2 linked regions of the Caenorhabditis elegans genome follow. The protein of the gene in region 2 interacts with the protein of the main gene of each other region in a pairwise test. Each region holds a gene or a part of one and is shown on either strand. Other genes may lie near its edges.

Region 1 (5,879 bases), on a different chromosome or scaffold from region 2:
GTTAAAATCCGTATAACTCGAAAACTGCATTGCGACCTGAATTACCGACAATTTTTATACTAACAAATTGCTACAAATCATTTATTTTACATTGTTTTCGATTTCTCATCCATAAGACACCTTGTCGAAAAAAGTTAGAACAGCCGACATCCGCCGGATTTGCTGCTTTTTTCTACGTTTTTAATTCGAAAAGTGGAAAATGAAATTTTAGAAACAACAAAAACCACAAAAACGTGAACTTTTTGAAAAAATTTGCTGAAATGCATGGTTTTATTTGTAGAAATGAATTCTTTGTTCCGTACTTTTGAAAAAAAACTACGCATAAACTTATAAAATCTTAATAGAGAAAATGTTAGTGGAATATATCATACATATTCTGCAATCTTTAGTTTTCGAGTTATACGGATTTTAACAACTCAAGTGAATCAAAACCGAAAGAGAACAAAATGTCGGTAATTCAGGTCGCGATGCGACCTAGGTCGCTAGGTCGCAGGTCGCAAAGCGACCCAGGTCGCTAGGTCGCAGGTCGCAAAGCGACCCAGGTCGCTAGGTCGCAGGTCGCAATGCGACCTAGGTCGCGATGCGACCTAACCCTCTAGGTCGCAGGTCGACCTAGGTCGACCTATAGCCACCCCTATTAGTGACTCATGCTTCCGGGGGGTGCATGGCTCAGTGCCTATGCGCGCTGCTTGCAATCACAAGGTCACAAGTTCGACCCCCACCTCCTAGGTCCTTCCAGCCTTAAATGGGAATTCAGTGTTCGTTCCACTGTCTTACAGCTTACATACGGCATTTATCCAGGCAAGACCTGTAGAAAAAAACCAAAAAAAAAAAAAAAAAAAAATTTTGCCACGTGGGGCAACCTGGCAGTATTTAATGATTTCATTTTGGTATTGAAACATGAGACAGTCTAGAAAATTAATTGGCAGAAGTTATCGACCACAGTCCTCAAGATTTTCATTTGATCCCACGTGGCAAACTGTTTGAGTTTTCTTCATTTTTTCTTTGTGTCATAATTTGAAATTTTACTTGCCACATTTTCAGACATTTTTCCGTAAAGAAAATTGGCTGCTCACTTGGAAACGCTGAAATTAGTCTAAAAATCGATAATTCAGTATTAATTTTAACTTACTTTACTGAAACATTACTGAAAAATGTATGAAACTGTGAAAAATTAAAGTTTTAAGTTTTAAATCAAAGAAAATATTAAGAAAAATGTCAAAGATCAGGTCAATAATTTGCGCTGGAATTGAAAAATAATTCGGCCCTTTTTTTTTGCAAAATTGAAAAAAATCATAAAATTTCAAAGAAAATGTTCGGAATTTTTTTACAGTTTTATTCGATATTTACATTGAAACTCTATTTTGTCATTAAGGTACAAAAAACCCACAAACGCTACTCCACCTTTAAACTAACAAGTACACGGAACCAAAGATTTTTCCTTATTTTTCTTCTTCTCGTGTTTTATTCAGTGATTATCTTTCCGGTCACCAATATTCCAGAGAATTAACTATCAATATCCGACTTTTTACTCAACTGTTCCTCAAACCTCCAATACTCTTGAAAAACAGCCGGTACCATACAAACGTTTTGTGTTGTTTTGGTAATACCCCTGCCGCATTTTAACTGTGTTTTTGCCGCGCGCATGCATTCCCCTGACCGTTTCCCCACACACTATTTCGCGCTCTCTTTCTCTACCTCTCTCACTCTCTCACTTCTCGCACTCACTCACTCACAGGTCTCCATTCTTGCTTTTTGGTCCCACCGGTTTTCATTAATTCCTCTCTCCCTCATTATTTTCTTTACATTTTTACATTTTTACATTTTGTAATATTTCATTAAGTTTTTTTTGTTGCAGGTATGAGTTCTTCAAAGCTTTCCTCATGTGATCTGCCAAACTCCAGAGGAAACAGAGAAGGTAAGCATTTTTTAAATCAATTTTTTTCTTCAATTTGTAATTTCAGGTCACCGCTCTCATAGTCGAAGCAATTTGGAAAGTGCATCGAAAAATATGGGACACCACATTAGTATTGAAGAATTGTTTTATTCGTTCGTAAAGCAAGACGGTGTTCAGTCAACAAGCCGTGGATATGGTGGCAGATCTCACCACGGATCCGTGTCTTTTAACGGGAATCCTTCCATGAACGGCGACCAGTTGAATCACTCGATTAATCAATCGATGAATGCAGCTCGAGCTAACAGAAACGTCTTCAACTCATCGAGCATTCCTCCAACGGCCCCCGTGTTCTCTGCAGACTTCCGTCAAAACTCGCAGACACGCAATAACTCCAGCTGGAATCAACGGAACTTGTCAGTTTCCACTTATCAGTACAACACTCAGCAGTCAAATACAGGGCACAGTAGAAGCCGTCCGAATGGACAACTTGGCCGAAGCTTCTCGGATGGATCGAACAATCATGGCCATGCTGGGAATGTGTCATTCAGTGGGAGTTCCGTTCCAGCTGGGTTCCAGAAACAAGAAACCAAGGCTTACCAACAACTTCATGGAAATAAAAGCTTCAACGCTCAAGCTGGAGTTCAAGCTCCTGGAGATCACAAGGACAAGAGATATGGAGGCATGTTTGGAAATGAGCTTATCAATTCGATCAATTCTAGTTTTGGCCAACAGCATGATGTCTTCAAGCCGCGGAATTTGAACCAGAGCTTTTCCGGATTTACTATTAATGAAGCTTTAACAAGGAAGCATCATCAAGAAGGATCAAGAAACGATAGAAGAAGATCACATGGGAGCACTAATGTCCAGGATCGTGCTTTCTACAACACAGATGACAATGAACTGTCTGACGACGTGTTCATAGAAGATTCCAATGGTGTTGCAAACGGTCCAAAATCTGTCACTAACAAATCTCAACAACAGTCTCGCGGAACGAAGGATGCTGGCAGTCAAGTGGCGGAGAAACTGAACTCTTCCAGAGGAGCTGCTCAACGTAATCTGAAATCCAATGTGTTCAGCAAGGACGGCACCGAACTTTCTGTGGAACAGTTACTGGAAATTGTCAGCATGAAGATCGGACAACACTTGCACTCAGCTTCCAGTTCTCACGGAGAATGCAGCAATTTGAATCGGACATTACCAGCTAGAAGTGATCTAAATTGCTCAATTGGTGAAGACTTCGACTCCAGTTTTCTGGATGTAAACAATCGAACCCTGCCAGAAAATCTTTCGAAGAAAACTTCAGTGCAGAAACATCGTCGTGGAAGTTCTCGTAGTGCGTCCCGTCTCGCCAGTCTTGACGTGACGCTGGAGACTGTAGAAGAAGATGTCGAACCCACACCAAGTCCACATCCGAGTTCTCCTCCAAAGATCTCAAGAAGAAAGTGGACAGGAACTTTTGATGCCAACGTTGAGGAAATGAGACGTTTACTTCATGGGGACCCTGGGAAGCCGAAATCTACAAAACGTGCTTTCTCAAGGTATGTAGTGATAAAAAGTGAAGTATTTAGTAAAAGTTTGAATTTCAGCAAGGATCAGAGAACACCTTCCTTGTCAATCATCACAAGCCCGAAGGCTTTGATCGGAGAAAAATGTCTGACAGCATCCAACAAGTTAGTTTTACACTTGGAGCTGCTTTTTTCATTATGTTTGTATTGCAGGTCTTCAAAGATTGACAAGTCACTTGGCATGATTGATTCGAAACTCACAAAGTCACCAATGTACTCCGCCACGGTTTCTGGGAAGGAAGCAACTTCAGGAAACCGAATCGCTCGAAAGTTGACTCCAGGGCTTGATGGACTGAAAAGGTATGGAACTACAAAGAACAAACAACATTTTTAAATGTTCTTTTCCAGCTCTCATTGTACCGGAAATCCAGTTTCCATAGATTGTAATGGTTGCCCAACTCCGAAAAGAAGTGGAATCAATTGTGATAATCGTATGGCTGAAGTGAACAACCAAGCCGGGAGATGGTCCTCTGAAGCCACCAGGTAAGGCCCAAATCAATAAATTCGCAATGAGTTTCGTATTATATAAATTTCTGAATTCTCAAAAAATCGTGGATCAAACATATGGAAAATAATGTGCAAGTTGAGTAGATTGAGGTCAAGACTAGACCTCTCGAGTAAAAAAATAGAGCATTAATCTTGCACAACTCCGCAAAAAGCCCTCTGCTTTTGTCTATTGCCCAGAAGGTGTGCGGCAAATTTGTACGGTTTTGCCGAAACAACTTTGCCGAATTAGCCTAATTTGCCGTTTGCCGAGCTCAGACAATTTTGATCAAAGCTATGGATTTTGTCGCCAAAAATTTAGTAGTGCTCGGCAACTTTTGAGATTTTCCACACATCCCTGGAGCCCAGTCTAATCACTTGATATTATAATTACTAAACGGTGAATTGCGAGCCCGCTAATAAATTTAATTTCCTCAGAATATATAAATTTTTGCCGCACAGCTTGATTCGATTTCTGTAACATACTTTCCAAGTACAATTAATTTTTTTTTCAGTCAGCCTGCCCCACTCCCTTGCAAGTCAGCCAACCCGACCGAAGATTCTTCTCAAGATGCACCTCCAACTTCACCACCACCTCGTATTTCTGATAGCTTGACGGCATTCCTGGAAGCTCAACAAGACTTCAATGATTATATTGATGCTCACTACAAAGAGAAGACACAACTCTTGAAAGTGAATTTGAATATTCACGGGATGTCACCTGAAAGATGGCTGTACTTGAATTATTTTTGCACCGAGACAATTCCAAGATTGGATGGTCCTTATGCCGATGGTAAGAAAGATAAGACATATTTAATCTTGAAAAACGTAAATTTTTTCAGATCCAAGGGTTCCACCTGTGCGAAATATATTCAGAAGATGGTTTCTCCGGTTTGCTGAAGCCTGCTTAGGAAATCCAAATGACCTTGCAGTTCAGAAAGATATTGCTCTCGAGTTCGTTCAGGCTCGGCTTGACGATACGAGCAGCTCCACAGATTCCACCAATATGCTCTACATGTTGTGGAAGGAGTGTATCGGACAGAAGAATATCATCTCAATTGCTGATGCGTGTCTCCTTGTATATCTTCGGAAATCGGATCCTGTCAGATACTTGAATGCAAAACGAGAATGGCTGGAATCTATTTTTGACCCACCCAGAGATCAATGATTGTACTGATATATATCTATTTCATGTCGAGTATTTTGTATTTTATTCTTGTTCATTGACCTTTTAACCACTCTTTTTATACTCCAACTTGCTCCTTCTTGTGAATTTATTTATGGTCTGCCCAGGAACTTGTAACGGGTAGTTTTCTATTGTTATCAGGACTGCTGCTCATTCAAAATTCAAAGTTGAATTTCAATAAAGCGAATGTTTGAAATAGGTATATAATTGGCAACTGATTAGTAGAAATATGTCTCTTCTTTGGCTTTTTGTAAAAGTTAGGCAAAAAAGTGGTCACGGATTCAATTTCAAAAGCGATGCTTCAGACTTATCCGCTACGATAGCGAAGGTTCCGTTTGTACTGAAAAACACAGTAGAGGAAATTGGTATAGGCGCGTATAAATAGAATTCTAGTAGTTGACTCTGAAATATAAAAAGTTATTAACAATCCAAATTGGCAATTACTGATTATAAGGATAGGAATGTTAAGTTTTCTTAATACTACTAGATACTACCCTCTACATTTTTATTGATAGGCATGCCTACTTGCCTGCCTAACTTCATTTGAAGGTCTTCTCTTTGAACGTCCACTTGCGCCATTTCCCGCCTTAAACTTGTTGTGTTTTCCTTGGATGGCTATTTGACTAGCGATTTCAGCTTTCAAGAATGAAAACAATGTTAAGTGCTGGCCTTAGATATCCAGTGTTTCCTGTGAAATTTCATTTCAGTGGCAGCATGCCAGACCAAATCCAAAAAAACCAAAGGGGAA
Region 2 (4,407 bases):
AAATTATTTTAAATTATGATAAACACATTTTCTGAATCTAACAGTCCCATTGAAAAATCTAAAACGATGATAGAAGAATTATAATTTTTCACTTAAACTATTGAATACCTCCGTTTCCACCGCGACCTCCTCCATTTCCTCCACGGCCGCCTCCGTTGTCACCAAATCCTGAAAAGAGTGTATTTTTATTTTTCAACCAGGCTATTCTTTCGAATTTGTGATATTTTTGTAATAATTGCTTAGATTTTAATTTTTGATTTTAAAAGCTTTGAAAGTTTTCAATAACTTGAGGGAAAACTGACCTCCTGTACCACCGCGACCTCCTCCATTTCCTCCACGTCCACCTCCGTTGTCATCAAATCCTGTAAATAGTTTAACAATACATTCTAACATAATCATGCTTTGGAATTTGTGGTATTTTTAAAAAAAGATTGCTTGAAAATTTTTAATTCAAGCAACTTTGAAACTTTCAATAGTTGGATTGAAACCGACCTCCGTTACCACCGCGACCTCCCCCATTTCCTCCACGCAGACCTCCGTTGTCTCCAAATCCACCTAAAAATTGAAATTATTAATTGTTAGTTTGATCTAACACTTCAAAAAAAAAATCAAAAATCAATTATTATACAACAAGAAGAGTTCTTACCGTTTCCACCTCGTCCGCCTCCACGACCACCTCCATTAAATCCACCTGAAATATCAAATTTAAATAAACTGAGAATAAAAATAATAAGTTACCATTTCCATTGAAACCACCACCACCATTGTTCCATCCGTCTGGAATTGAAATTAACTTTATCGATAAACATGAATAGCTCAAATTATCTTTTTTTGTTCAAACAAAATATGTCTTGTTTCTGTAGTTTATAATTTAATATTTCTTGTTATCTTTGATGTGAGCGAGGATAAGAACTGAGTCTTGTATAGGATATAAGGTCCATCAAACACACGATGCACTGTTTGAAGAAGAATATGTTCCGATAAGTAACAAGGAAGTCAATTTTCCTATTTTGATCTGATAAAAATGCCACATACCTATCAAACTTTAGATAAAGAAGGCCAAAGTTTCACAAAAAAAACTCTCACAAAACAGGAACTTACTATTTCCTCCAAATCCACCACGTCCACCGCCATTATTCCATTCTCCTGGGCCACGTGGTCCCGGTCCTCCAGATCCAGGTCCTCCAAATCCAGGCCCACCGAATCCTGGACCCCATTGACCGACGGTGAGCCCAAGAAGGGTAACAAGAAGGAAGATGGTCAATTTGTACATACTAAACATACGAAAATATTGTTTTAAAGTTTAAAAATACTTGTAACAGGTTCAAAACTCAATACACATTAAGGGAAACTGAGAAATAAATGAAAGAACAACTAAAACTTTTTCTCCAAAACTTCCTTTATGTGGTGCCACGCCTCCTGTCTTATCTCGGTCTTTTGAAGGTCGGTCAAGACGACCTAAAAAAGAATTTGACACATAAAGTTACACCGAAACATAATGATGATGATAGAAACAGAATTTCACACGAAAAATTACAAAACTTATGTTTCTTTGATTTTGACTTGATTTTGAAGACAAAGGTCAAATGAGGAGGAATTTGGATAGTTAAAGAAAGATCAAGTTATCACAAGTTATTTTATTGAAAGATTGTCGGGGAAAATATTGAAAATTTTTGAAAAATTTTAAACACTTATTAAAACATCAAAAGAACCGCTGGAAATATGCTCGAAATTTCTATAAAATTTGAACTGACTTTGCTTCAAAAATTCAAAACTGTTATTTGGGCACAAATTGAGCCGATTGGATGATTGAATTTTTAATAATTTTCCTTTATACGTGTTATATTTATGTAAATGATTTCATAAATTTTTATTACTTTAAAAAATATACTCATGATCTACTAAAATAATTTTGATCTACAAAATTCTCCAGCGCTGAGATTTCTTTGTTCTCGCAAAATACTCCTTGATCTAATTATTAATTAAATAGAACAATGATCTAATTGAACTCATTCTTCTCTTTCTTGTTACGATCCAAACGTTTTTCTTCGAGTTTCCTCTCCACGCCGAGTGATGTCCGGACCTGAAGAATTAGAAGCGGGAGCCAGTGATGTAAGTAAAAGAATTTAACTTTTTTTTGAAAAGAGCAATTCAGAGCAACGCCGGTGGATCGTCCCGACAAGGACAAGAGCAAGAACGAGTTGAGCCAGTATTGGAAGGAGTTCCGCAGCCAAATGATCAGGAGAGCGCAGATGAGGTATTGAATGAGTTCTTGTGGGATTCTAAAGATTACCTAGTGCTTTAAAAATTACCACGGTACCTAAATAGTGAAAATGATTTTTTGTTTATTTATACTTTTTCTGAAATCGGAGAAGCAAACGAAATAATAATTTATAACACTTCTGGCTTTCAGTTTTTTAATTGACCGAAGCTGAACGTTTTGTCTTCAGTAAAATTAAACTTTGTGGGTTTAGCTTTTGAGAGGATTTATGTTTCGTAACAAAAAGAACGAGATTCTTTCGATTTTCGGAGAATGTTCTGGAAGTTTTTTATGTCTGCTTTTGATTCATTTTGTGCAATTTTCTAGTTGAAGGTTGATTAGTGGTGAAGTCAGGCTTATTTTTTTTATTTTACAGGATCTCACTGCCAGGCAGCCACCGATTCAACCACAAGTTCCAAACGCATCCGATAACCTGCAAGTTCCACCAAATTTGGAATACTTGATAGCAGTGGTAATACTGATTCTAAAAATATAACAACTTTTCCAAATTTTATTTTTCAGAATCCCAGTCAACTGATCACCACTATTCAAATTGGAGCAGAAGTAGCACGACTAGAAGAATTGGAAGATGAATATCGGCAGGAGCTGGAACTAATTAGAATGACAGAATCACTTGGAGAGGAACTCTTACAAAAAGAAAACGAACTCAGAAGTCGAGCTGGATATCTTGGAAGGCTAGATGTTCTTGAAAATCGGAGAAACTACGAAGACGAGGCTGCCGAAAATTTGGCTATCCGAACTGTGCAAAACCGAGTGCTTCTACTGAGAAGGGCGCGGGCCGAACTGTATGAAAGGGAACGAATCGCCCGAAAAACCTTTATTTGGAGATTGAGAAGATTTAAAAATCCAACAGATCAAAGTGTTAATACTTGGATGGAAACTCTGAATGATCGGTTGAACCGTGTCGCAAATTCCTGGGAAAGACGACGGGAGCCGCATGAACAAGCGATTCGAGACTATGAGCGTTTAGTAGCTACTCGACAACGTACCGAAGAAGATCGTCGCAGGGAACGTGCATCAAATCGGGCCGGTCCTTCGAACCAAGAAGATTACGATTCTGAGGATGAAGATGAACATCATGTCGATGAATTACCAGATCTTCTTGAGCTTCTGAGTCTTGTGGTCAACCCTGTTATAGGTGGCGGAGGAATATCAACTAATCGTGCAGAATATTTAAATCCGCGTGGAACAGAAGGCTTGGGTGCTGATGATCCTGATTTGAACGATAGTGGAGGAACTGTGTATCAGAGTGACGAAGAGGAATCAGAGGATGAAGCAGAGATTGATCATCAGGAAGGTCCATCGAATTGGAGGCCCAAGCGACCACGTCGTGATGATGATGAAGGAGGATCGGGAAGCAGCGCAAGCATGTGGAATGCTCCATCCACATCTTCCCAGGCTCTTGGAAGAAGTTGCTAAAATAATGATGAACTCAAGTTGATACTAATTTATTTTAAATCTTTATTTTATAATCCAGTCTGTTTATTTTTTAATATCAATTTTCTTTGATGTATCTTATTTATTTTATTTCATTTCAGGTAAATATTGATTAAATATTGATTACGACCTTTATTTTCGATAGCAATTTTGACAAAAAACGATAAAAAATGATATGAAATTTTTTGATCTACAATGTACGCATGTTTTAATGTTTTTTGTAACGCGGGAGGGGGTTCCCCTCGAATATTCATAAGACCGTTGTTGTTTGACCTACAATTGTCCCGGAAAAATTACCGGTGTCCTTTTCCGAATATTCTTCCTTTCCCTCGCTATAATCGATTGTTTTGGTCAGTTATATTTTTTTTCTATTTTAATTTGACAATTTTCAGTTTTCCCTCTTTTAACTTCGTTTTAAGTTTTAAACAAAATTTGTAAATTTTCAGATTACATCTCAAATCGCTACTAACTGTAAGAGATGAATGTGTCTGGAGAGTCTGCAGCTGATATCGAAGAGGTAAGATTGAATTTTCCTGTTTCAAAAATTAAATTAAGCATTAACATGAATGTTTAGAAGACAAATGGTGAACCAACTCAAGGAAAAGAACAAGAACAAGATGAGCCAGCGGAAGAGCAAAGTGGACGGCAGTCAAATGCAGAAGATGGTTCAGAAGAGGTATGAACAATTT

Evidence for each region.
Region 1: the proteins of C50E3.13 (region 2) and meg-4 interact in a two-hybrid assay, tested with the Caenorhabditis elegans proteins (2 studies listed by BioGRID).

Annotation. Positions count from the first base shown.
Region 1 is NC_003284.9:1,681,096-1,686,974, forward strand, and holds meg-4 (J domain-containing protein), read left to right. Parts: upstream 1-1,858; 5' UTR 1,859-1,860; coding exon 1,861-1,918; intron 1,919-1,964; coding exon 1,965-3,435; intron 3,436-3,483; coding exon 3,484-3,567; intron 3,568-3,615; coding exon 3,616-3,762; intron 3,763-3,810; coding exon 3,811-3,945; intron 3,946-4,460; coding exon 4,461-4,738; intron 4,739-4,787; coding exon 4,788-5,113; 3' UTR 5,114-5,324; downstream 5,325-5,879.
Region 2 is NC_003283.11:7,621,819-7,626,225, reverse strand, and holds C50E3.13 (uncharacterized protein), read left to right. Parts: upstream 1-1,973; 5' UTR 1,974-2,073; coding exon 2,074-2,112; intron 2,113-2,155; coding exon 2,156-2,257; intron 2,258-2,636; coding exon 2,637-2,732; intron 2,733-2,782; coding exon 2,783-3,700; 3' UTR 3,701-3,899; downstream 3,900-4,407. Other genes in the region: grsp-4 (Glycine Rich Secreted Protein), read right to left, coding at 109-168, 303-362, 493-555, 647-691, 739-777, 1,102-1,273; C50E3.12 (uncharacterized protein), read left to right, coding at 4,197-4,235, 4,293-4,394.